Linked DNA regions of Caenorhabditis elegans. The protein of the gene in region 3 purifies or fractionates together with the protein of the main gene of each other region. This does not show direct contact. Each region holds a gene or a part of one and is shown on either strand. Other genes may lie near its edges. The genes, in order: wago-1, men-1, idh-2 and F09E5.8.

What was found.
Region 1: the proteins of idh-2 (region 3) and wago-1 fractionate together in Caenorhabditis elegans (co-fractionation; one large-scale study listed by BioGRID). This does not show direct contact.
Region 2: the proteins of idh-2 (region 3) and men-1 fractionate together in Caenorhabditis elegans (co-fractionation; one large-scale study listed by BioGRID). This does not show direct contact.
Region 4: the proteins of idh-2 (region 3) and F09E5.8 fractionate together in Caenorhabditis elegans (co-fractionation; one large-scale study listed by BioGRID). This does not show direct contact.

What each region holds. Positions count from the first base shown.
Region 1 is NC_003279.8:7,233,423-7,239,293, forward strand, and holds wago-1 (Argonaute protein wago-1), read left to right. Parts: upstream 1-1,961; 5' UTR 1,962-1,985; coding exon 1,986-2,150; intron 2,151-2,196; coding exon 2,197-2,777; intron 2,778-2,821; coding exon 2,822-3,554; intron 3,555-3,602; coding exon 3,603-3,778; intron 3,779-3,821; coding exon 3,822-3,997; intron 3,998-4,039; coding exon 4,040-4,386; intron 4,387-4,432; coding exon 4,433-4,672; intron 4,673-4,712; coding exon 4,713-5,020; intron 5,021-5,065; coding exon 5,066-5,177; 3' UTR 5,178-5,370; downstream 5,371-5,871. Other genes in the region: R06C7.2 (BEN domain-containing protein), read right to left, coding at 238-403, 451-638, 682-706, 757-1,079; dhp-1 (Dihydropyrimidinase 1), read right to left, coding at 5,662-5,812. UniProt on the Caenorhabditis elegans protein: Argonaute protein which is involved in the endogenous small interfering RNA (endo-siRNA) pathway. Interacts with secondary 22G-RNAs, which are RNA-dependent RNA polymerase-derived endo-siRNAs, typically 22 nucleotides in length with a 5'guanosine residue.
Region 2 is NC_003280.10:14,227,833-14,235,705, forward strand, and holds the start of men-1 (Malic enzyme), read right to left. Parts: upstream 6,024-7,873; 5' UTR 5,972-6,023; coding exon 5,946-5,971; intron 4,445-5,945; coding exon 3,543-4,444; intron 2,536-3,542; coding exon 2,072-2,535; intron 839-2,071; coding exon 506-838; intron 1-505. Other genes in the region: jmjd-2 (Lysine-specific demethylase 4), read right to left, coding at 7,462-7,623.
Region 3 is NC_003284.9:11,214,081-11,218,687, forward strand, and holds idh-2 (Isocitrate dehydrogenase [NADP]), read left to right. Parts: upstream 1-1,919; 5' UTR 1,920-1,925; coding exon 1,926-2,081; intron 2,082-2,125; coding exon 2,126-2,203; intron 2,204-2,265; exon of another isoform or gene 2,266-2,399; intron 2,400-2,481; coding exon 2,482-3,011; intron 3,012-3,056; coding exon 3,057-3,208; intron 3,209-3,258; coding exon 3,259-3,469; intron 3,470-3,768; coding exon 3,769-3,949; 3' UTR 3,950-4,070; downstream 4,071-4,607. Other genes in the region: C34F6.7 (uncharacterized protein), read right to left, coding at 41-160, 1,032-1,247, 1,311-1,389; C34F6.9 (USP domain-containing protein), read right to left, coding at 4,397-4,555.
Region 4 is NC_003280.10:5,349,017-5,352,493, forward strand, and holds F09E5.8 (Pyridoxal phosphate homeostasis protein), read left to right. Parts: upstream 1-1,652; 5' UTR 1,653-1,659; coding exon 1,660-1,745; intron 1,746-1,796; coding exon 1,797-1,896; intron 1,897-1,948; coding exon 1,949-2,029; intron 2,030-2,082; coding exon 2,083-2,163; intron 2,164-2,208; coding exon 2,209-2,393; intron 2,394-2,576; coding exon 2,577-2,647; intron 2,648-2,787; coding exon 2,788-2,918; 3' UTR 2,919-2,977; downstream 2,978-3,477. Other genes in the region: F09E5.7 (PI31_Prot_N domain-containing protein), read left to right, coding at 3,093-3,158, 3,206-3,368, 3,414-3,477. UniProt on the Caenorhabditis elegans protein: Pyridoxal 5'-phosphate (PLP)-binding protein, which may be involved in intracellular homeostatic regulation of pyridoxal 5'-phosphate (PLP), the active form of vitamin B6.

The DNA.
Region 1 (5,871 bases), on a different chromosome or scaffold from region 3:
GACTACAACAACATTGCACGTACAACTTAACATAACAACAGGCTACATTCTATAATCTGCACTCAACAACAACAACAAAAAATCAATTTCCACGTAGGTCAAAACAATAATAGGGCAACGGGGGAAAATGAAATTAGCAGTTACACCACTTACTATTAGATACGCATTGTATGTAACGCAAAAACAAGAATGACAGGGTGGGATACAAATAAAAAATCATGGTATGCTTCTCACAAACTAGAAGTTGGAATTGAAAATACTACAATTTGATTGAATTATTAGTGCTGAAGCATTGACACGACGGTCGATCAGGAAGCCGGATTCCTTGTATTTGATGCTATCGGTAATCTGCTTCATACGAGCTGCCTCTGGTCCAGAAACTTCGGGAATTGCATCCGCAATGCTGCAAAAATATTTTAATATCAACTGTTGTCATTTTCTTAAACTCACATGGCTTCATTCCACAAATTACGACCACTCTTCGCGTACTCATTTGCAACATACATTGGTGTTGGAAAAAAAAGAAGTTGGAAGTCTGACAATTTGGTGAAGGTGGCACAATGGAAGTGAAATACACGTTCGAGCAATTCGTCATTTTCCGAGATTAAAAAAAAAAGGATTTGAAGAGGTAGATTTTCCTTGAATAAAAAAATCGTTATTGTCGATAACAGGAGAACTGACAAGTTTCAGTTCAAGGGAATTGATTCTAAAATAGAAAAAAAATGTTAAATTTAATCTCGTGCAGAAACTACTTACAAATTTCGAAGCTTCTTGTTCTCGCGTTCAGTATCTTGAAGCTTCTTTCGATTATTTTCCTCAAAATTGGCTAGCTTCGACAGTTGGCATGTGATTTCCTGTGTCCTTTTCTCTGTTTTCGCCGTTTGATCTTTTAGCATCACCGACTGAAATAAAACTTTTTCTTCTGCATGAAACAAGTGCAAAAAATTACCTTTTATTTTTCGTTTTCCTAATAAATTGAATTCTGAATACTTTAAAAACCAATAATTCTGGTGAGACGTTTGAGAATATCTGTACTTTTTACAGTCACGTCGCGAATCGGGATGTACAGCGCTGAACATTTTCCGCACATTTTCGGCAGATTTCCATCTATTTTAAGAGTTTTCGTAGGGACCTTACACAAATAACAAAATCCAGCAGTCTGCGTTGTTCGACAAGATGTGAGAGCAGGTGGTGATGTAAAATTGCCTTCTTGCTGGCGGGAATCCACATAGGTTGCAAACGATTAACTTCATTGCGATCTAAGCTACAAGCCTGAATTAGATGAGTATCATTCAAAATAAAATTAACAACTAAGTCACTTTTTAAAACATGGAAAGCACACAATACTTGTAAAAAGGAGAAAAATAAGGCTGTACAGCAAAAATAAATTCAAGGAGCGTTCGTTTTAACACTGAGTGGGTCTCGCAGCGATCTCCATTCTTATGTACTGTATGCGTTGTCATTTAAATTTTTTAGGACGAAGAAATTGTTTTTTGTATTCTTTTCCGGTTTGTGACAGTTTTCAATAATTTTTGTTAATTTTCAAGATTATTTTTATATTTTAATAATAATCTAGTTACAAAATCTTAAGAAACTTGCTCGTTGAATCTTAAAAATGTAAAAGTGATCTACATTTGATCTAGCCGCCAATTATCGGATTCTGTATTCTTGCGTCATTAATAATGATGATTTTGTACAAATCTAGTCGTTATTTGTTTTTATGCCGCCTCTGAAACACCGAAAAATCTCGAATCATTATTCTTTTTCGTCGGCAATACGAAAATTCCGTAGTTTGCCCTTTCTTCATAACGTACCATTTTCGTTCTAGATTGATCTCTTGAAGAAAACTGATTTATTTGTTTAAACTATTGTTAAATATCTCACAAATTCATAATTTTCTATAGATGTTCTCCAATCTCGCTTATTCGGTGCAGAATATTATTTATATAAGCTTTTTTCAGAACTAATATTGCAATAGTAATAAGATGTCTCCTCATCCACCACAACCGCATCCACCGATGCCTCCAATGCCACCAGTCACTGCTCCACCAGGAGCTATGACTCCAATGCCTCCAGTTCCAGCCGATGCTCAAAAGCTTCACCAAAGCACTGGCAACGACGCATGCATCAAGCGTTTACAACAGTTAAACGTATGTTTATCAGCATTCAAAGATCTTTCTAATGCCATATTTGCAGGTTGAGGATGGTGCGAAAATGTACATGAAGCCAACCGAACCTGGAAAAATGGGCAGACCAGTGGACATCCAAACCAATGTCTTCGGAATTGAAGTCACAAAGGAAACCACAGTTCATCGTTTTATGGTTCACGCAAAGGCCGATTTGACTTCAACAAAGGAAGTGACTTTCACTAAAAAAGGAAAGGAGGACTTCGTCGTTCAGGATCGTCGCGATAAGTGTTGCAACATCTTTTTCCTTGCGGTTGAGAAGAACCCGGAATTCTTCAAAATGAAGGATGGGAATCAGATTGTATATGACGGTCAATCAACTCTCTACACGACGGTCAACTTGTTCTCAGAACTGGATGCCAACGGTACGAAGTCCAAAGTCTTCCAAATCAACGGAGCTGATACCGGCAATGACGACCTTAAGACCCTGCCTTGCATTTCTCTCGAGATTTATGCCCCAAGGGACAACTCTATCACGCTCTCTTCTGAAAATCTGGGCAAGCGTACTGCGGATCAAAACATTGAAGTAAACAATCGAGAATACACTCAATTCTTGGAACTTGCTCTGAATCAACATTGCGTGAGAGAAACGTAAGTGAATTTCGAAAATTATTAAAAGCATCGCTTCATTTTAGAAATCGTTTCGGATGCTTCGAGCACGGAAAAGTATATTTCCTCAACGCCACCGAAGAAGGATTCGATCAACGAGACTGTGTCGACGTAGGAGACGGAAAACAACTTTATCCTGGCCTCAAGAAGACGATTCAATTCATCGAGGGTCCTTATGGTCGCGGACAGAACAATCCATCTCTCGTGATTGATGGTATGAAAGCTGCTTTCCACAAAGAGCAAACTGTGATCCAAAAACTGTTCGACATCACGGGACAAGATCCTTCAAATGGACTCAATAATATGACCCGTGAGAAGGCTGCGGCAGTGATTAAAGGACTTGATTGCTATTCGACTTATACCAACAGAAAGCGCCATCTAAGAATCGAAGGTATCTTTCACGAAAGTGCCACAAAGACCAGATTTGAGTTGCCCGATGGAAAAACTTGTTCAATCGCCGAGTACTATGCGGACAAATACAAGATCAGTCTACAGTATCCGAACGCCAATTTGGTGGTTTGTAAGGATCGAGGCAACAACAATTACTTCCCGGCTGAACTGATGACTGTGTCCAGAAATCAACGTGTCACCATTCCTCAGCAAACGGGAAATCAATCTCAAAAGACAACGAAGGAGTGCGCGGTTCTTCCGGATGTCCGTCAGCGAATGATCATCACTGGTAAAAATGCTGTCAACATTACACTCGAAAACGAGTTGCTCGTCGCTCTTGGAATCAAGGTTTACTCGGAGCCTCTGATGGTTAGTTTGTGTAAATTGTAAAAAAATATATTTGTTTTCTTTTTCCAGGTCCAAGCACGTGAGCTTGATGGAAAAGAACTTGTATACCAGAGATCGGTAATGTCGGATATGGGAAAATGGCGTGCGCCTCCAGGATGGTTTGTGAAGCCTGCGACTGTTCCTGATTTGTGGGCTGCTTACGCTGTTGGAAATCCAGGTTGCAGATTCTCCATTGGAGATGTCAAGTAAGACAAATAGAAATTTACATGAATCAATTCAATTCTTAAGCCAACTCGTCGGAATGTTCATTGATTCTTGCAAGAAGAAAGGCATGGTGATCAAGCCACCATGTGAAACAGGACTTTACAGTACGGAAAAAATTATGACTCAGCTGGAAAAAGTGGCTGCGAGTAAGTGCAAGTATGTCTTGATGATCACTGATGACGCAATCGTTCACCTCCACAGTAAGTTTTCCTTAAGTTTTCATGGTTCATTGAAAATTTCAGAGCAGTACAAAGCCTTGGAACAGAGAACAATGATGATCGTCCAGGATATGAAAATTTCCAAAGCCAATGCCGTTGTCAAAGATGGGAAGAGATTGACGTTGGAGAACATCATCAACAAAACTAACGTGAAGTTAGGTGGTCTTAACTACACTGTTTCGGATGCAAAGAAGAGCATGACCGACGAACAATTGATCATCGGAGTTGGCGTTTCCGCACCACCGGCTGGAACGAAGTACATGATGGATAACAAGGGACATCTTAATCCACAAATCATTGGCTTCGCTTCAAATGCTGTTGCAAATCACGAGTTTGTCGGCGATTTCGTTTTGGCTCCCTCCGGACAGGACGTAAATAATTAATGTGTTCGAGTTAACAACATGGTAATTTTTACAGACAATGGCATCAATTGAAGACGTGTTGCAAAATTCAATCGATTTGTTCGAAAAGAACCGCAAAGCGTTGCCAAAAAGAATCATCATTTATAGAAGTGGTGCATCGGAGGGTTCTCACGCTTCTATTCTGGCTTATGAAATCCCATTAGCCCGAGCTATTATCCATGGTTACTCGAAAGAAATCAAATTGATTTTCATCGTCGTCACTAAGGAGCACAGTTACCGATTCTTCCGTGATCAGGTAAATTTGTTTTATTATTCTCTTTACGCTAACTTTTCAGCTTCGTTCGGGCGGCAAAGCCACTGAAATGAATATTCCTCCGGGCATTGTCTTGGATAACGCTGTCACGAATCCGGCATGTAAGCAGTTCTTCCTGAACGGTCACACGACTCTTCAAGGAACAGCAAAGACACCATTGTACACTGTTCTTGCTGACGACTGCAAAGCTCCAATGGACCGCCTGGAGGAGCTGACCTTCACTTTGTGTCATCATCACCAAATTGTTTCCCTGAGCACGTCGATTCCCACTCCACTTTATGTGGCAAATGAGTATGCAAAGCGTGGAAGAGATCTCTGGGGTGAACTAACGTAGGTTTTTTTTGTTTAAAACAAAAATTTATTTATATTTTGCAGGACTAAAGGACCAATTGAAGCAAAGGAGTCGCAAGGCGAGCGCCTCAAGGAACTTACAAAGGAAATCGGCTACAAACAAACCGATCTCAATCAGAAGCGCGTCAATGCATAGATTTGGAGCTATGCCACATACACTTGATGTTTTACCTAGGATAATAATTTTACGGTCACCTAGGATAATAATTTTACGGTTTTTCCGCTAGTTTTATTGTAATTTTTTAGTCAAATGTTTTATATTTTTGTAATGTGGTTCTGTGTGACCCGTAGTAATTAAACTCGGTATGATAAAAGTTTTAGGCTGATAATATTTTTCAAAGATTTGCTTTGTGCGTAAAAGTTCGAGGCGATGTTTTTTGAGGATCTTCAAGTGAAAACGAAGATTGTCTGATAATGAGGGGGAATTTTGTTCGATTTTTTTTTGAAATTGGAACATTAAACATTTCTAGAGCTGCTTCCAAGTCAATTGACTAGTCGACTAAATATTACTTTTTGGTTGTAATCTCAATATTGAACAAACAATTTATTCACGTTTTTAACTCAAAATGGTAATTCGAAAGTTAATCAGAACAAGAAAAGTAATAAATAAAAAAGCAATTTCATTCAAGCCTTTCAACTATCCTTGGTTGAATTTTCTGTTCCCTTTTCTCGTGAGTTGAAAAAACGAATGGTGAATTCGCAAGAAGGGGAATAAATTTCCCAGATCCGGGAACTGTTTGAAGTTTTCCGTGAGCCCATACAATTCGCCCTCTGTAATAGATTGTGGTTAATGTTGTGCCATTGAGAGAATATGTCTGAATACAAGAATC
Region 2 (7,873 bases), on a different chromosome or scaffold from region 3:
TTTTTGAAGGTATTTTTCAAAATTTTTTCATGTTTTTCAGCTAAAAATGCTTTTTTCCATGAAAAATTATTCTTTTCCTCGAGGAGTACACGACTCGCGTAAATCGGTACACGGCCATTTTTTGCATTAAAAAGTGAGGAAAATCAATTTTTTCGGGTGGGGAAAAGTCTTTTTTTGTCATTTTTAAAAATGTTTTTCATCCATTTTTCATGTTTTTTCAGCTTGAAATGCTAGGAAAATCGAAATTTTCCCGATTTTTTCCAAATTTCCACTCAAAAAATTGCTTTTCTCTCCGAGGAGTACACGATTCGCGTAAATCGACACATGGCCATTTTTTGCATTAAAAAGTGAGGAAAATCACTTTTTTTCGGGGAAAAGTTTTTTTTTTTGGTATTTTTCAACAGTTTTTCATGTTTTTTTCAGCAAAAAATGTCTAAAAATTGCAGGAAAATCGAAATTTTCCGACGTTTTTTTTTTTCAAATTTCCACTCAAAAACAACCGCACCATATCATCGGGTTTCGGGTGCAAAGTGGCCAAATCGTGTCGATAACAATACTCGCCAACTTCTACGGCAATTTTCACCGAAAGTTCTCGAATATCCTTCAGACGTGGATATACACGTGAATACGTGTTCAACGACTTCTCCGATACGGCTTCGGCGACCATACGGGCGGCCAGAAGGAACAGCTTGTCCGGAATGTTTTTGGTACGGAAGAGGACGGCTCCGAGAGCAACACCCGGGAAGATGTAGGCGTTGTTTCCCTGTCCTGGCTTATAGAGTTTTCCATTCATTTCGACATTTTCGAACGGGGATCCGGAGGCGAAGAGGACGGCTCCCTGCAAAAATTGGGTATTTTTGGAGGGAAAAATAACTGATTTTTCAGATTTTTCATTGAAAAATGATTTTTAAGATTAAAAATTGACATTTTTCCAAATTTTTCCATAGAAAATTAATTTTAATTCCATTTAAAATCATTTTTCCACGAAAGAGCTGAAAAATATAAATTTTTATTAAATTCTAAAATCATTTTTTCAACTAAAAATCTAAAAAGAATAAATTTTAAAATTGACATTTTCCACAATTTTCTTCGAAAAAATTAACTTACAATTGGAAGAAATTGTACCTTTTTAAAGATTTTTCTGTTAAAAAACAAAATTTAATTCAATTTAAAATCATTTTTCCGTAAAAAATCTGAAAAAACGACGCAACTTTAAATTATAAAATTGACTTCAATAAATTAAAAACTAAAACATTATTTTAAAATGATTTTTTTTTAATTAAAATTGGCATTTTCCAGATTTTTTAAAGAAAAATAAATTTAAAATATTCTCTTTGCCGTGGAAAATATTAATTTTCAATTAAAAAAGGTTAATTTTTGATTTATAAAGTCACTTTTTAAAAGGTAAATCTGAAAAAAAACGGTCAATTTTTGAATTTCAAAATAATTTTTCCATGAAAAATCAAGCGAAAATTGGCAAATTCTACATTTCTCAACTAAAAAAGTGCAGATTTTCTCCATATTTTTCCAGTTTTTTTTTCCAATTTTCGTTATTATTTTTATTACTATTTAAAAATTACTTTTTTCCCAGATTTTTCATTTAAAACCGCTCTAAATTCTAAAAATTGATATATATTTTAGATTTTAAAATTTAAATTTTCAGATTTCCAGATTTCTCTTTGAAAAGCGACTTTAAAATTACTATTTTTCAGGTTTTTCATTGAAAAATGGCTCTAAATTGTAAAAATTGAGATTTTTTAAGTTTTTTATTTGAAAAAAAAAACATTTTTTCATGGAAAATCTGAAAAAAAAACGGTTAATTTTTAACACAAAAAGTCCGGAAAATTATACATTTGGATTTAAAAATTTTTGATTTTTTTTCCATGAAAAAGCTGGAAAATAATAATTTTTAACTAACTTTTCATTGGAAAAATCTGAAAAACGGCGAATTTTTGAATTTAAAAATTCACTTTTCCATGAAAAATGCAGTAAATTCAGCTCAAAAAATCTGAAAAATTCAGATTTTCTCCATATTTTTCCAGTTTTTTCTCTAAATTTACATATCCCGTACATTTGTGCAGCGATAAGCCGTCTCCGCAGTGCATTCTGCTTTACTTGTAGGGTTGGACAGTGCAAAAATGATTGGCCTCGGGTTCAGCCGAGCCATTTCCTTAATAATATCCTCCGTAAATGCTCCAGCCACCGTAGATGCTCCGATGAGTGCTCCAGGCTTGACAGTCTTCACAACTTCCAGCAGATTCTTGGTATCCGGAAGATCTTTAGCGAATTTCACATGTCTCTCGCCAAGAGATTTACTACGAGACGTCGTGATGAGTCCTTCAATATCAACCATATAAATCCGACCGCAAGCTTCTTCCTCCGACAATCCCTCGTCCATCATCTGTCGGACACACATTTCGGCGACTCCGGTGGCGGCTCCACCGGCTCCGAGGAAGACGATCCGTTCCTGGGAGAGCTTCTTCTTGGTGATACGAGTTGAGGCGAGCAGGCCGGCGACGACGACAGCGGCGGTACCTGGAAATTTGCAAAAAAATTTTTTTTACAAAATTTATTTCTAACTATTTTTTAATTTTTTTTTTTAATCAAAAATTTCAAATCTGAAATCTGAAAACAAAAGAACTTTTAATTTTTAATTTTTAAAACTATTTTTTAAAGACCTTTTTTTTTTGTTTCCTATTTTATATTGAAAAAATCCAAATTTCCTGGGAAACTATTATTTTTAGAATCAATTTTTCACTTTTATTTCCAAGTTCAAGGTCAAAAAAATCGAAATTTTCAAAAAATTAAAATTTCCCAAAAAAAAAAAGAAGCAAAATTTCTCTTTAAAAAATTGAAATTTCCAGAAAAATCCGAAATTTCCCGAAATTTTCCGACATTTTCAACCCGAAATTCAGAATCAGCATACTTTAATTAACAATTTTCAGCTCATTTAAACGAAATATCGTAGAATCCGGTGCCAAGTACGCAAACACCGAAGCTCTGCGTACTTCTGAGGCTACAGTAACCCGGAAATTTTCAAAATTGAGCTAGAGACTCCAAAATAATTACATGGCTAGGGGTAAAGAAATTTTACGGAAAACTTTTACGGCGGAATTTTGCAGTTAAAATATAAAGTTATAAAGGAATATATCCCCTCAAATTTGCTTCACTATTTTTTTGAAACTCCAAAATTCGAGTTTCCCGTGAAACTTCACCCCGGGCTGTACTTTTTTTTTCGAGTTACTAGCTCAATTTTGAAAATATCCGGGTTACTGTAGCCCCGAAAGTACGCAGCGCTTCGGTGTTTGCGTACCAGACACCAGATTCTACGAGATTTCTTCGTCTAAATGAGCTGAAAATTGGCGCACAGGGCAATAAAAGTATGCTGATTCTGAATTTCATATTTGAAAACAGTGAAAATTCAGATTTTTTTTGAAAAATTTCGGCCAAAATGCAATTTTTTTTCTCAAATGTGCATTTTAAAGCCTTTTTCTCCGATTTTTTCGCTTTTTTTCCTCAATTTCCCCCCTGCCAAATTCTACCTTGAATATCATCATTAAACATGCAATATTCTCCCTTATACCGATCCAACAACCGATACGCATTCTGATTTCCAAAATCTTCAAATTGAATCAGCGTATCCCGTCCGAACCGCTTCGTGGCCGCCTTCATAAAATTATCGACGAGCGTATCGTATTCGGGACCTCTAACACGCTTTCTACGGAGCCCCGTGTAGAATGGATCGTTGAGCAGCTCGCTGTTATCAGTTCCCACGTCGAGAATCACCGGGAGACACCATTCCGGGCGAATCCCTGCGAGCGCAACGTAGAGTGCAAGTTTTCCAACGGGAATTCCGATTCCATAGGTTCCCAGGTCGCCGAGGCCGAGGATCCGCTCTCCGTCAGTGATCACAATTGCTCGGACGTTCTCTGTCGGCCAATTTGCAAGAATCTGATGGATTTTACTAATACTATTATCATTAATAGTAATGTAGAGACCCTTTGGGTTACGGTAGATGAATCCGAAATGCTGACAGGCTTGTCCTACGGTAGGAGTGTACACAATTGGCATGAGCTCCTTCACATTATCGCAGAGCACTCGGTAGTAGAGCTTCTCGTTACGATCCTGCAACGAGTCCAATTGAATGTACTTGGCAAGGTTGTCAGGTTGCTGGCGGAGTTTTGTGATGATACGGTAGGCTTGTTGCTCTTCGGTCATAAATGCGGGTGGCAGAAGCCCGTGAACTCCGAGATATTGACGTTCGTGGAGGGAAAAAGCCATTCCCTTATTGAGCCCGGGCGACTTGAGCAGGTCGATTCCTCGCTTCTGGGGTGTGGTGCGTTCCGGGCGGTAGAGCTTGTGAAGGGCCAGAGTTTTGGGATCGGAGAGATCCGGCTCGTTTTTGTCGCTCAGGCATCGTGTTGATGTGGAGAGACGGCGGATGCTGGAAATTTGGGGATTTTTGGTTTTTCATTGAAAAAAATGGCAAAAATTCAGATTTTCCCGGAGAAACCCATTTAAAATGACCGAAATTCAAATTTTTCGGAAAAAAAAATCCATAAATAATGGCTAAAAATTCAGATTTTCATGGAAAAAATTTATTTAAAATCGTTAAAATTCAGATTTTCCAGAAAAAAAACTATTTAAAATGGCTAAAAAGTAGATTTTCACGGAAAAATGTATTCGAAATGGCTGAAACTCAGATTTTTCTGGGAAAATGCCATTAAAACGGCTAAATTTCAAATTTTCCGGAAAAAAATCCATAAAAAATGACTAAATATTCAGATTTTCCCGGAAAAATCCATTTAAAAGGCTGAAAATCGGATTTTTTGGAAAAAATTTTTTTTAATGACTAAAACAGTAGATTTTCACGGAAAAAATGTATTTGAAATGGCTGAAACTCAAATTTTTTAAATATAAAAAATGGCTAAAAATCAAGCTTTCCCAGAAAAATCAATTAAAAACGGCTGAAATTCAGATTTTCTCCGAAAAAAATTCATGAAAAATGGCTAAAAATCGGATTTTCTCGGAAAAAATCCCTTAAAAACGGCTGTAATTCAGTTTTTTCCAAAAAAAAATCCATTGAAAATAGCGAAAATTCAGATTTCTCCTGGAAAAACTCATTCAAACGGCTCAAATTGAGACTTTTTCCCGGAAAAATACATTAAAAATAGCGAAAAATCTGTTTTTCCAGAAAAAAAACTATTTATAATGACTAAAACTCAGATTTTTCCGAAAAAAAATTGATTACAAATGGCTTAAAATCAGATTTTCCAGGAAAAAATGCATAAAAAATGGCGGAAAATTCATTTTAAAAATGTTGAAATTTTAGATTTTCCCGGAAAAAATCCATTAAAAATTGGCTGAAATTCAGATTTTTTCGGAAAAATCCACCAACTGCGGCTAAAAATCAGATTTTTCTGGAATAAAACCATAAAAAATGTCAAAAATTCATTCAAAATGCCAGAAATACAGACTTTTTCGGAAAAAAATCTAGTAAAATGGCTGAAATGCAGATTTTCCCGGAGAAAACCATTTAAAATGGCTGAAGTTCAGATTTTTTTAGAAAAAATAAATTTAAAATGATTAAAACTCAGATTTTCCAAGAAAAATTGGGCAAAATCGCAGAAAAATCGCAGAAATTGAAATTTTCATAGGTTTTTATCGAAAAAATCTACAAATTTTTTAAATACTCGTCAAAATTCGTAGACTTTTTCAACGAAAACCTGTAAAAATTTCAATTTCTGCAATTTCTCGCAGAAAAATCGATATTTTACGCATTTTTGCCGAGACCATCTGAATTTCACCCATTTTTCATAAATTTTTTCCGAGAAAAGCAGAATTTCAGCCGTTTTAAATGGATTTTTCCGGGAAAATCTGAATTTTTAGTCATTTTTAATACATTTCTCGAATTTCAGCTAATTTCAACGCAAAATCCTCCCTACCTGGCAGGCGAAAGACGGCTCAGCATTTTTCGTGATTCCCGCACGGTTGTGAAACCCAAGAGCAAATGAGAATTGATTCTGAAATGAGACGGAAAAATGTAAAATTTCGATAAAAACTTTTTTTTTTGAAACACGTGAAATAAAAACGGTGACAATTGATAAGAAAAATGAGTGCATTTTATCAATTTTTATTCAGAAAAAATTATGGAAAACCTGAAAATTCGGGAAAACTCGCGGTGAAACTGGAGAGACAATTGCCTGAGAAGCCACAAATGGGGGCGCCCGTCGTCTATCGATCCACGTATTCTTTCGGGATAAACTATGTGCGAGAGATCTGCACTCAGCGGAGAGACGCAGGGAGAAAAAGAAAACAAAAACACGGGCGGAACTCTTTTCTTGAAAAAATGAATTTTTATTTCAAAAAGTAAGATGGAAAATCGTTTTTCCTTCGAGTGGCGGCGAAATGAGTGCTTGGGGGAGCAAGTATGCGGTGAGAGGAGGGAAGAGGGAGAAAAAGCGAGAAAAATGATGTTTTCCCGTGTTTTTTTCTTGTTTATAGCGATATTTTTCGATCAAGGTGGCCTTGTCATCGAATTAGCCGTGATCTTTGGGGTTTTAATTGGAAGAAACAGATATTTTAATGCGATTTTTTGAATTTTCCACAAAAAATAAAGAAATTAGTTTATTTTTCCTCTCGAAAACCGACAAAAACTCAAGAAAATAACGAAAATCAATGAAAAAAATAAAGAAAAATTGTCGTCAAATGTGGCGCATTGGCCGCAAAGTACGCAGTTGCCGTGTCAATTCACCGGCGCCAATTCGAATTTTGAAAGGTTTTTTCATTAAAAAATAGCTTTTTAAAGAGAATTTCTGGATTTTGAACTGTTTTTTCATTAAAAATAGCTTTTTAAAGAGAATTTCTGGATTTTGAAAGGTTTTTTCATTAAAAAACAGCTTTGAAAAGAGAATTTCTGGATTTTGAAAGGTTTTTTCATTAAAAAACAGTTTTTTAAAGAGAATTTCTGGATTTTGAACGAGTTTTCCGGTTATTTTCAATATTTTCCCACTCCCAACGCAGCTGTCAGCTCAACACGTGTTCACAGGAAGTCAACAAATCGGATAAAGTGATCTTTGGCCAATTTTTCTGATTTTTCGACGGAATTATTTGATAAGAATGCGATTAGTGTGTTGGCATTTGGAAAAAAAAAGGTTTATTAGATAAATTGATCAATTTCGGGGAAAACATTTAAAAGTTTCTGCAAAATAATAGGGAAAAATAGCGAAAAATATTTAAATGACAAAAAAATACAGAAAAAAAACAGAAAAACAGGGATAATTAGAGATTCTTCGACTTTTCGTACAAAAAAAAACTGGGGGGAAAAGAGGCGCAGAGATCACATATTTGAGGGTAGACGGGCGGGAAAGAGAGAATATATTACATTTTGACAAGAATTTTTTGTCAGGGACTATTTAATAGTAAATTTTAAAAAATCGAATATTTATTTATTTATTAAAGCTATTTTTTGAGATACGCGTTCAGTTCTCGCTTCGTTTTCAGCCTGTTCCGTGGATGGCGGACTTCTCGGCCATCTTCCAGTCGGACCGTGTACTCGATCATCTGTCCTTTTCCACGGAAGTACGCGTCGTAGACTTGCTTGTCGTCCCACACTACTTTTACCTGCAAAACAAATTGGGGAATTTATTGATTTTTTTGGGGGTTTTTAGGACTTTTTTATAGTATTTCCGGGCTTTTTCTTTATTTATAATTTATTTAAAAAAACAGGAAAACCCATTAAAAATGACTAGAAGACTTGAGTTTTCCCTAGAAAAATCGTGATTTTAAAGGGGAAAATCTGAATTTCGGCTGTTTATAATGAATTTTTCCCGAAAAATCTGAAATATTCAGCTGAATTTTAGCTATTTAAAAA
Region 3 (4,607 bases):
AAAATGACAATTGACCGCGTTTTCAGGAAAACTTCATTACCAATCAAAGCGACAAAAAGCACTGTGAACCACATCCAAGGATAATCCAGAACTGATGGAAATCGACGAGTGTCAGCTGCAGTCATCAAGATGTTTCCATGCACGAAGTAGGCAGCAATGACTGAAATTGATTTTTCTAAACAATAAATGCAGAAACGTGATGAAAATTTAAAAAAAAAACTCTATTTGTCTTTCAAAATATTTATTTCAAGTCTTATTCAAACTCGAATATTAACAATACTAAATTATTTTGTGCGCATATGTTTTAATCAGTTCATACATATGTAGAAAGTAAAATAGATCTGACGAATCGATTCAGTTTCAAATTAATAAGAGGGTACTTAAACGCATCTGAGAAATCCTAAAATTTGGAATTATATATTTTGAAAACTCGTTGAAGGAGGAGTAACGGCCTTGGCTATTTTGAACTTATAGGCTCAAATAGTGCTTAAATGAACGAATTAGGTAATGAGACTCATCAAAAATGTTTCAAAAAGCTTTATGGCGGTTCAAAATTTGGAAAAATTATGAATTTTGCTTACTTTGCTGTGCCATTTTGAAAGTTTATCACATTATTTGGTTGATTAAGATTTTTTTCAAGCCGATAGGTTTTTTTTCTTAGGCCGATAGGTATCAGGTATAAAAAATAACCGAAATTTTTGAATGTACCTTAATTACCGGAATAAAATGAGATTACCAATATTTTTACATTAAAAAATTCGTTCATTTGAGCACATTTTGGATCTCTACGTTTAAAGTTGTCCGAACCGTTAGCCCTCCTTCAAGCTATTTCATGAGTTACTAGATCCAATTGTATTCGTATTGAATTTGTAGTCGAAGCTTTCATTACTAAACAATGTTTGTCTTTTGAAATGCATTACTGAAAAAATCGGCGAGCCGTCATTTGAGGTTCAATCATTTGTCCGAAATTGTTATTTTATTTTGTAGGATTCTGTTGTCCTTTTCACTTTTGAAAAAATTCCAACACTCACCACAGGGATAGAAGGCAACAAATGCGTGAAAGAATGCCACCCGTTTTGCAGCATACTCCACAAAGTCGTGCTGTCTTGAATTATATAGAATTGTAAACAAGTCAAAAAGTGTGAGCCCGAGTCCGTCGAGCAGTTCCTCCGGTGGGAATACCAATGCAAAGTGGGCCGCTGTTAAGATAGCTATGTGACTGACCACGTGAAGATATGTTAGCTGAGCTACAAAGATTAATTTTCTTTATAATTAATGAACAATTCATAAATAATTTTAAAAAAACTCACTAGTAAATTCACACGTAATGGCTGTAAAAACTCCGAGTACGAAGATGAAAAACCATGTACCTCGTTTTATTGAGGTCATCCTGAAAAATGAAGCACATTAAAAGAAAGAACAGAACGAAAAAAAAACTAAATATAAGCTTTAAGCATGAAAGAAATCAATAATAATTGAGATTCCACGTAATGTATTTGAAAATCTTCATCTAAAGCGACGTTCTCTTCTCCTTCCATTCTGTCCGCAAAAGTGCGTCGTTTTCTCTGCCTGCGTACGTAGCCGGGAAAAGGGGACCTTGAGTTTTTTGTGGACTATGATGCGAGGATCAAACAGTTTGCACCAGTACACTATCGACCCAGCCTTCTATCCTATCCTCCGCCTGTTTGTTTCATTCTCTGACCCTCTATAATCTCTCCTCCTTCGGAATCGAATCAGCAAGAACGACCTGGCAATGTATCAAGATAACACGACAATTCCTTGTCCTTCTTATCAAAGTGACCGTTTGCGCGTACAAACGATGGCTGCATTTGTTCCATTTTGTTGTTTTTTTTAACGTATGAACTTGTTTCAAAGACATTTTCTTAATTTAATCTATTTTATCAAAACAAATTATTCAGGTAAAAATGTTAAGCCGTCTGACATCACGCAACGTACTTCTTGCTCGCAATGTGGCTACTGCAGCAACTCAGGAACGGCAGAAAATTAAAGTGGATAACCCAGTTGTCGATTTGGATGGAGATGAGATGACGAGAATCATCTGGAAAGAAATTAAGAATAAGGTGAGATACTATACACCAAATCTCTGAGGAGTGCAAATTTTCAGTTAATTCTTCCATACCTGGATCTCGACATCAAATATTATGACCTTGGTCTTGAATACAGAGACGAGACAAATGATCAGGTGAGTTTTAAAACCAATGTAGTATGACGGTTTGATTGATAGTTCGCGTTTTGATAAAACTAAAAGTAAACGATAACTTGCATTTATTGAAACATAAAACTGGTTTCCTTTTCGATTGAATAGGAATTATCCTCCAGTGCAGAAGTATCTGGAAAATTACCCTGTTCATCACTTTTCCCAGTTCCATTAAGATTCTAGGCTCGAATATATAGTTTTCAAATACCGCCCACGTGTTGCCACTACCAGATGCACTAAAATATTGAAGTTCAAGTTTGCAGGTCACCATTGACGCAGCCCATGCAATTCTTGAGCACAGTGTTGGAATCAAATGCGCCACAATCACTCCGGACGAGGCTCGCATCAAAGAGTTTAATCTTAAGAAGATGTGGCTCTCACCAAACGGAACAATCAGAAATATTCTAGGAGGAACTGTATTTCGTGAGCCAATTCTTTGCAAGAACATTCCACGACTAGTGCCTGGATGGACTCAGCCGATCACAATTGGCCGCCACGCTTTTGGAGATCAGTATAAATGCACAGATTTAGTTATTCCAAGTGGATCGACCCTTCAGCTTTTAGTTAACAAGCCAGACGGATCCAAAGATGTGCATAACGTGTATGACTTCAAAAAGTCGGGAGGTGTTGGATTGGCTATGTATAATACTGATGAGAGCATTAAAGGATTTGCTCATTCTTGTTTCCAATACGCATTGATGAAGCAATGGCCACTGTATCTTTCCACAAAGAACACGATTCTGAAGAAATATGATGGACGATTCAAGGATATTTTCCAAGATATATATGAAAAGTAGGGTAATCCAAAAAAATCTCATTCAAATGTTTATGTTTTAAGGAAATATGAAGCGGATTTCAAGAACAATAAAATTTGGTACGAGCATCGATTAATTGATGATCAAGTTGCACAGGCATTGAAGAGCTCTGGAGGATTTGTGTGGGCTTGCAAGAACTACGACGGAGATGTGCAAAGTGACATTGTTGCTCAAGGTTTTTAGTCTTGCTTTTCAAGAATCTTCCGCAAAAATTATTATTTTCAGGATACGGATCGCTCGGTCTCATGTCTTCAGTTTTGATGTGTCCCGACGGAAAGACAATTGAAGCAGAAGCTGCGCATGGAACAGTCACTCGACATTATCGTGAACATCAGAAGGGTAACTCGACGTCTACAAACCCAATTGCGTCTATCTTTGCTTGGACAAGAGGTCTTCATCACAGAGGCGTACTTGACAATAATGAAGCATTGAAGACGTGAGATAACGTTCCTAAAATATTTACTCTCTAATCAAATTTTTGAAAAACTAGTCAAAAATTCAAATGTTTCTAACTTCTCGCCTTCTAAATTTGAACATAATTTAGCCGAATTGTTACAACAGATACATCTCGTTTTTCTTTCTCTTCTTTATAATTTCGAAAACTTTATCCAGCACCTGTGGGCAACTTTCACAACAATTAAACAATTTTTTGAAAACAACAGTCCCAAAATTTTTAGCAAAAAATCCCAGCAAACAAAAAAATTTGATTTTCTTATTTGAAAATTGATGTTTCAGGTTCTCCCTTACTTTGGAAAAGGCATGCATTGACACTGTCGAGGAGGGAAAAATGACGAAAGATCTTTCAATTTGCATTCATGGAACCAAGAAGGGAACCGAGAAAGGAGCTTATCTTATTACTGAAGATTTTCTGTCCGCTATTGACACCAAGATGGCAGAGCTCATGCGCCAGGATTAAAAAACACTCCATTTCGTAAATTATTTCTAGTGTATTTAGTGTTCTGATGACATTTGTACTCCATCTTCTTATTGCCATATTTTTATTTTTCAAGAAAAAATGTAAATGAAACAATTTTTATTCACGTGCAATTGACAAAACAAAGGTTAATTGGGGGAATGAAATTAAATTGAAAATGTTTGAACAAACGAGAAAATCGGAACATGGCAAGGATAAATTGCCAAAATTACTGGGAAGAAAATGTGAAATCGGGAAATGGGAGGAATTCTCTAAAAATATAGAATGAGAGATCCAAAAGTTAAAGAATGGGAACGATGTCAGAGATATGGAAGAAAAGTGGATAGTTTTAAAACAGAACATAGGATAAAAAGATAAAACAGTGCAAAAATTTAGCATGAGTTTCTAAGAAGAACATAAAATTAAAGCTAACTTAATAGGAAAATTGAACTATTGGATACTCTGACAGTGTTTTTCATTTGCAAAAACAATGTTACCACGACCATCAAAAATTATATCTGTTGCTGCATCCTTGGCAACAGCCTCCTGTTTCCGGAACATTGCTAGAACGATTGTGATGTCGCTGGACAACTTTGAGTCAAGGACAACCTGCAAACAATTTTTGTAGTATAAAATTACGTCAATATTGTAAAAGTTTAAT
Region 4 (3,477 bases), on a different chromosome or scaffold from region 3:
AAAGTATATGTTTTATTGATTCCACGATTTATTATTTACGTTGCTCTTGAGAAGTTCAACAACTTCATATCTTTTTGAAAGTGTAACAGCAAGCTCATAAAGGCGTTCTTTTGATGGTGAAGAAGACATTGATGAAACTGCGATTTTTCTCATAATTAATTGCACCTAAAATATAAATTTAGTTTTGAAAAACGTAAATTTCAGTATACTGCAATTTCGCTTCTCCTCGATTCGTGATCACAATCACGACTGACTTTCACATGGCCTGTCTCAGTCTTGATACGCACGGATCCGGGGCACTTTCTCGAGTTTTCCAGTGTAACGTTACATCTGAAATAAATTAATGAAATGTGTGACAATTTTTTCCTAGCGATAATTCACCTAGCCACAATGTCCCCATTTTTCAGTGTTTCTCTCGGACGATAGCTTTGATTGTTGAAAATGACCAATGGAGCTCCTCGTTTCGTCGAAATACTGAAATTGCATAGTTTCTATGTTTAATTGTTTTAGAAGTTAGAAGGCATACCAAAAATCTGAACTATTCTCGCTGATATATTCCGGTGCCATTTCAAGCACCCCTCTTGGGCTATTGGCAATCGGTCTATAGTGCATCAGAGAACGTAACACGTGTGACTTGCTGGAATTTTATATTTTGATAGAGTTATTGATTAATAACAACCTATTTGTCAAAAACCAATCCGGATGGTATGGAGTCTCTTCGTCTTCAAACGGAGATTGATATGAATTGTGACCTAAAAATACAACGTCTGTTATTTCTATTTAATTATTAGTTAAGACCTACACAGAAGATTGAATTCACTTGTTTCCTGTAGATCGTGATCCATTTCTTCGGGAAATACAGCTGGATAAAAATCAAAAAATCTTTCAGTATTTGCCATGGAATCTGTTGTATCCAAGCTTGTTTCCTGAGTAGAATTGGCTATTGAATCGCATTCCGGGATATCGTCAGTGGATCTCGGCTCATCGAGCTCTCGAGAATTTGAAGGAAACTGCATATACGAATCAGACCGACGTGGTGATGCAGGTGGAGTAACCAGATCGATTGTTGCAGGAGTCGATTCACATACATTTGTAGTAGACGCTTTCGGATTTCTTTTCTTCTTTAGATCCCTGTCGAACGCTGAAAAATACTTTTCACTCTTCAATTAATCTTTAGACATCAATACTTGCCTCTAAAAAAGCGTTTGGCTCCGCTTGGATCACTCTCAGCATCAAGTTCTTCTTTTTTCCGGGAAGGAAACGCTCATTTTCGATTAATATTAATTTTGATCGATTCGAAATCGAATGAAACCCGTTTTTGTCATCGAAAATTCTGAAAATATCCGTATTTAGCTCGAATAAAACTAATTAATTTCCATTAAAAATCCGTTTTTAATTGAATTCCGTTCGAAATTTCCTGTTGGAAAAATAAATAAATAAATACGAAGAAGCGTGCGGCGCATTGCAAAAAGCCGTGCGGCGCATTGCGAAGGACTGTGCGGCGGGCTTGCGAAAAGGCGCGCCGCACATTGCCCTACTGAAAGCGTTCCTTACGAAAAAATCCCCTTACGAAAACGTACCCCCTCTAGAAATTTCTTATTTTGTTGTTTCCTTCCTTTTCCGTGTTTAGAACTAAATAATATAGTTTTCAGGTAGAAAATGTCTATAGAAATTGTACAAAAAAGTCTATTCAACATTATTGAAGCCGTTGCCGACGCCGTTACTGCTTCGCAAGCCACAAAAAGGTTGGTAAACCGGAAATTATTGCGAAACTAAATTAATAATGAATTTTTCAGATGTCGACTTGTTGCTGTCAGTAAAACAAAGTCTGCTGATTTAATAGAGGCATGTTATTCTCAAAATCAGCGTCATTTTGGAGAGAATTACGTCCAAGAAGTGAGAGAAAAATCATCAACAAAACTTTTGAAAATGATTCCTTATTGTTCAGCTTGAAGAAAAATCTGATGTTTTGGCGTCAAAATGTTTAGATATTCGTTGGCATTTTATCGGACAAGTGCAATCAAATAAAGTTAGTTCTGATGGAAAATTTACCTTATTTATTAATCATTTAAAAATTTTTAGATTGGAAAAATTTGCAATTCTCCTGGACTTTGGTGTGTTGAAACAGTGGAGACTGAGAAACATGCTCGGATTTTCGACAAGGTGTGTTTAGTGACTATTAATCTATTTTAATTAAATATCTTGAAGGAATGGTCAAAACACGGAGCCAATTTGTCACCACTACGAGTTCTCGTGCAAGTAAATACATCCGGAGAAGATAATAAAGGAGGAATCGAGATTGGAGAAGCACCGAAACTTGCGGAATTCATTCGAAAAGAATGCCAAAACTTGAAATTTGATGGATTCATGACTATCGGATCGTTTGACAACAGGTATATATTTATTTATTGTTACGACTATCCTACTAAAAAGTTGTTCAGTGGCAGGTGAAATGGAAATAGGTGTAAGAAATGATGAAAATGAACGTTTTATATTAATTATTACTTGTAAATAATGATCAAGCTAACAAGCGATAAATTAAATATTTACCATAAAATAAAAGTTCAATTTTACAGCCACGCAAGCGGAGAAAATCCGGATTTCGAGAAGCTCTTCAAAGTCCGACAAACATGGGCAGAACAAACAGGTGAACAGATTTTCTAGAAAAATCAAAGCGAGAACCGTCAGTGGTTGACGTCAAAAAATAAAACTTATGCTTCAAGAAATGTTTTGAAATGTTGGATCCACAAAGTTTCTAAACAAAAACTTGAAAAGTATTGATTTCAGGTGAATCTGCGGATTCAGTAGAACTCTCAATGGGAATGTCCGATGATTTCCTTCAAGCAATTCATCAAGGTGCAACAAGTGTTCGAGTGGGAAGCAAGCTGTTCGGAGCCAGAGAATACAAAAATAAATAGATTTACATTCCATTTTTTAGTTTGTTATTTTTTTAGTATTTAAAGAAAATTCACTATTCAAATTCACTTTTTTTTTAATTACCAGATTCCAATTCAGTTGCTGTTACTGTTTAAATACCTTTCTTTTGAATTGAACTTTTCAGTTCCTTCAGCATTTTTTTCAGTCACAGAATAATGGATAATTTCCGATCGGAAATTCTCAAGGAAACTCGAGAATTAATGCTCAATGAGCAGCAACATGTAGGTTAATTCTTTACTTTTAAGCAAATTAAGCGTGATTCATTCAGGAGGAAAGCATGAAATCTTGGAACGGACCTGAAACGAAAGGATTTGAATTAAAATTCGGAGGCACCAAGCGAGGAGTTCCACAGAACTCTGGAGTAGTTGGTCAGGTTTTCATCAGTGAGGATGGAGGATTTGAAGCAATCATAACTGGATATGTCATAAAAAGTAAGTTTTGAAAATAAAATTGTCAGTTATAATTCGATTTTTCAGACAGTCTCCGTTCCATCGCAGCTTCTTTCACAGTAACTCCTTCGTCTTCTCTGAAATCTGATTT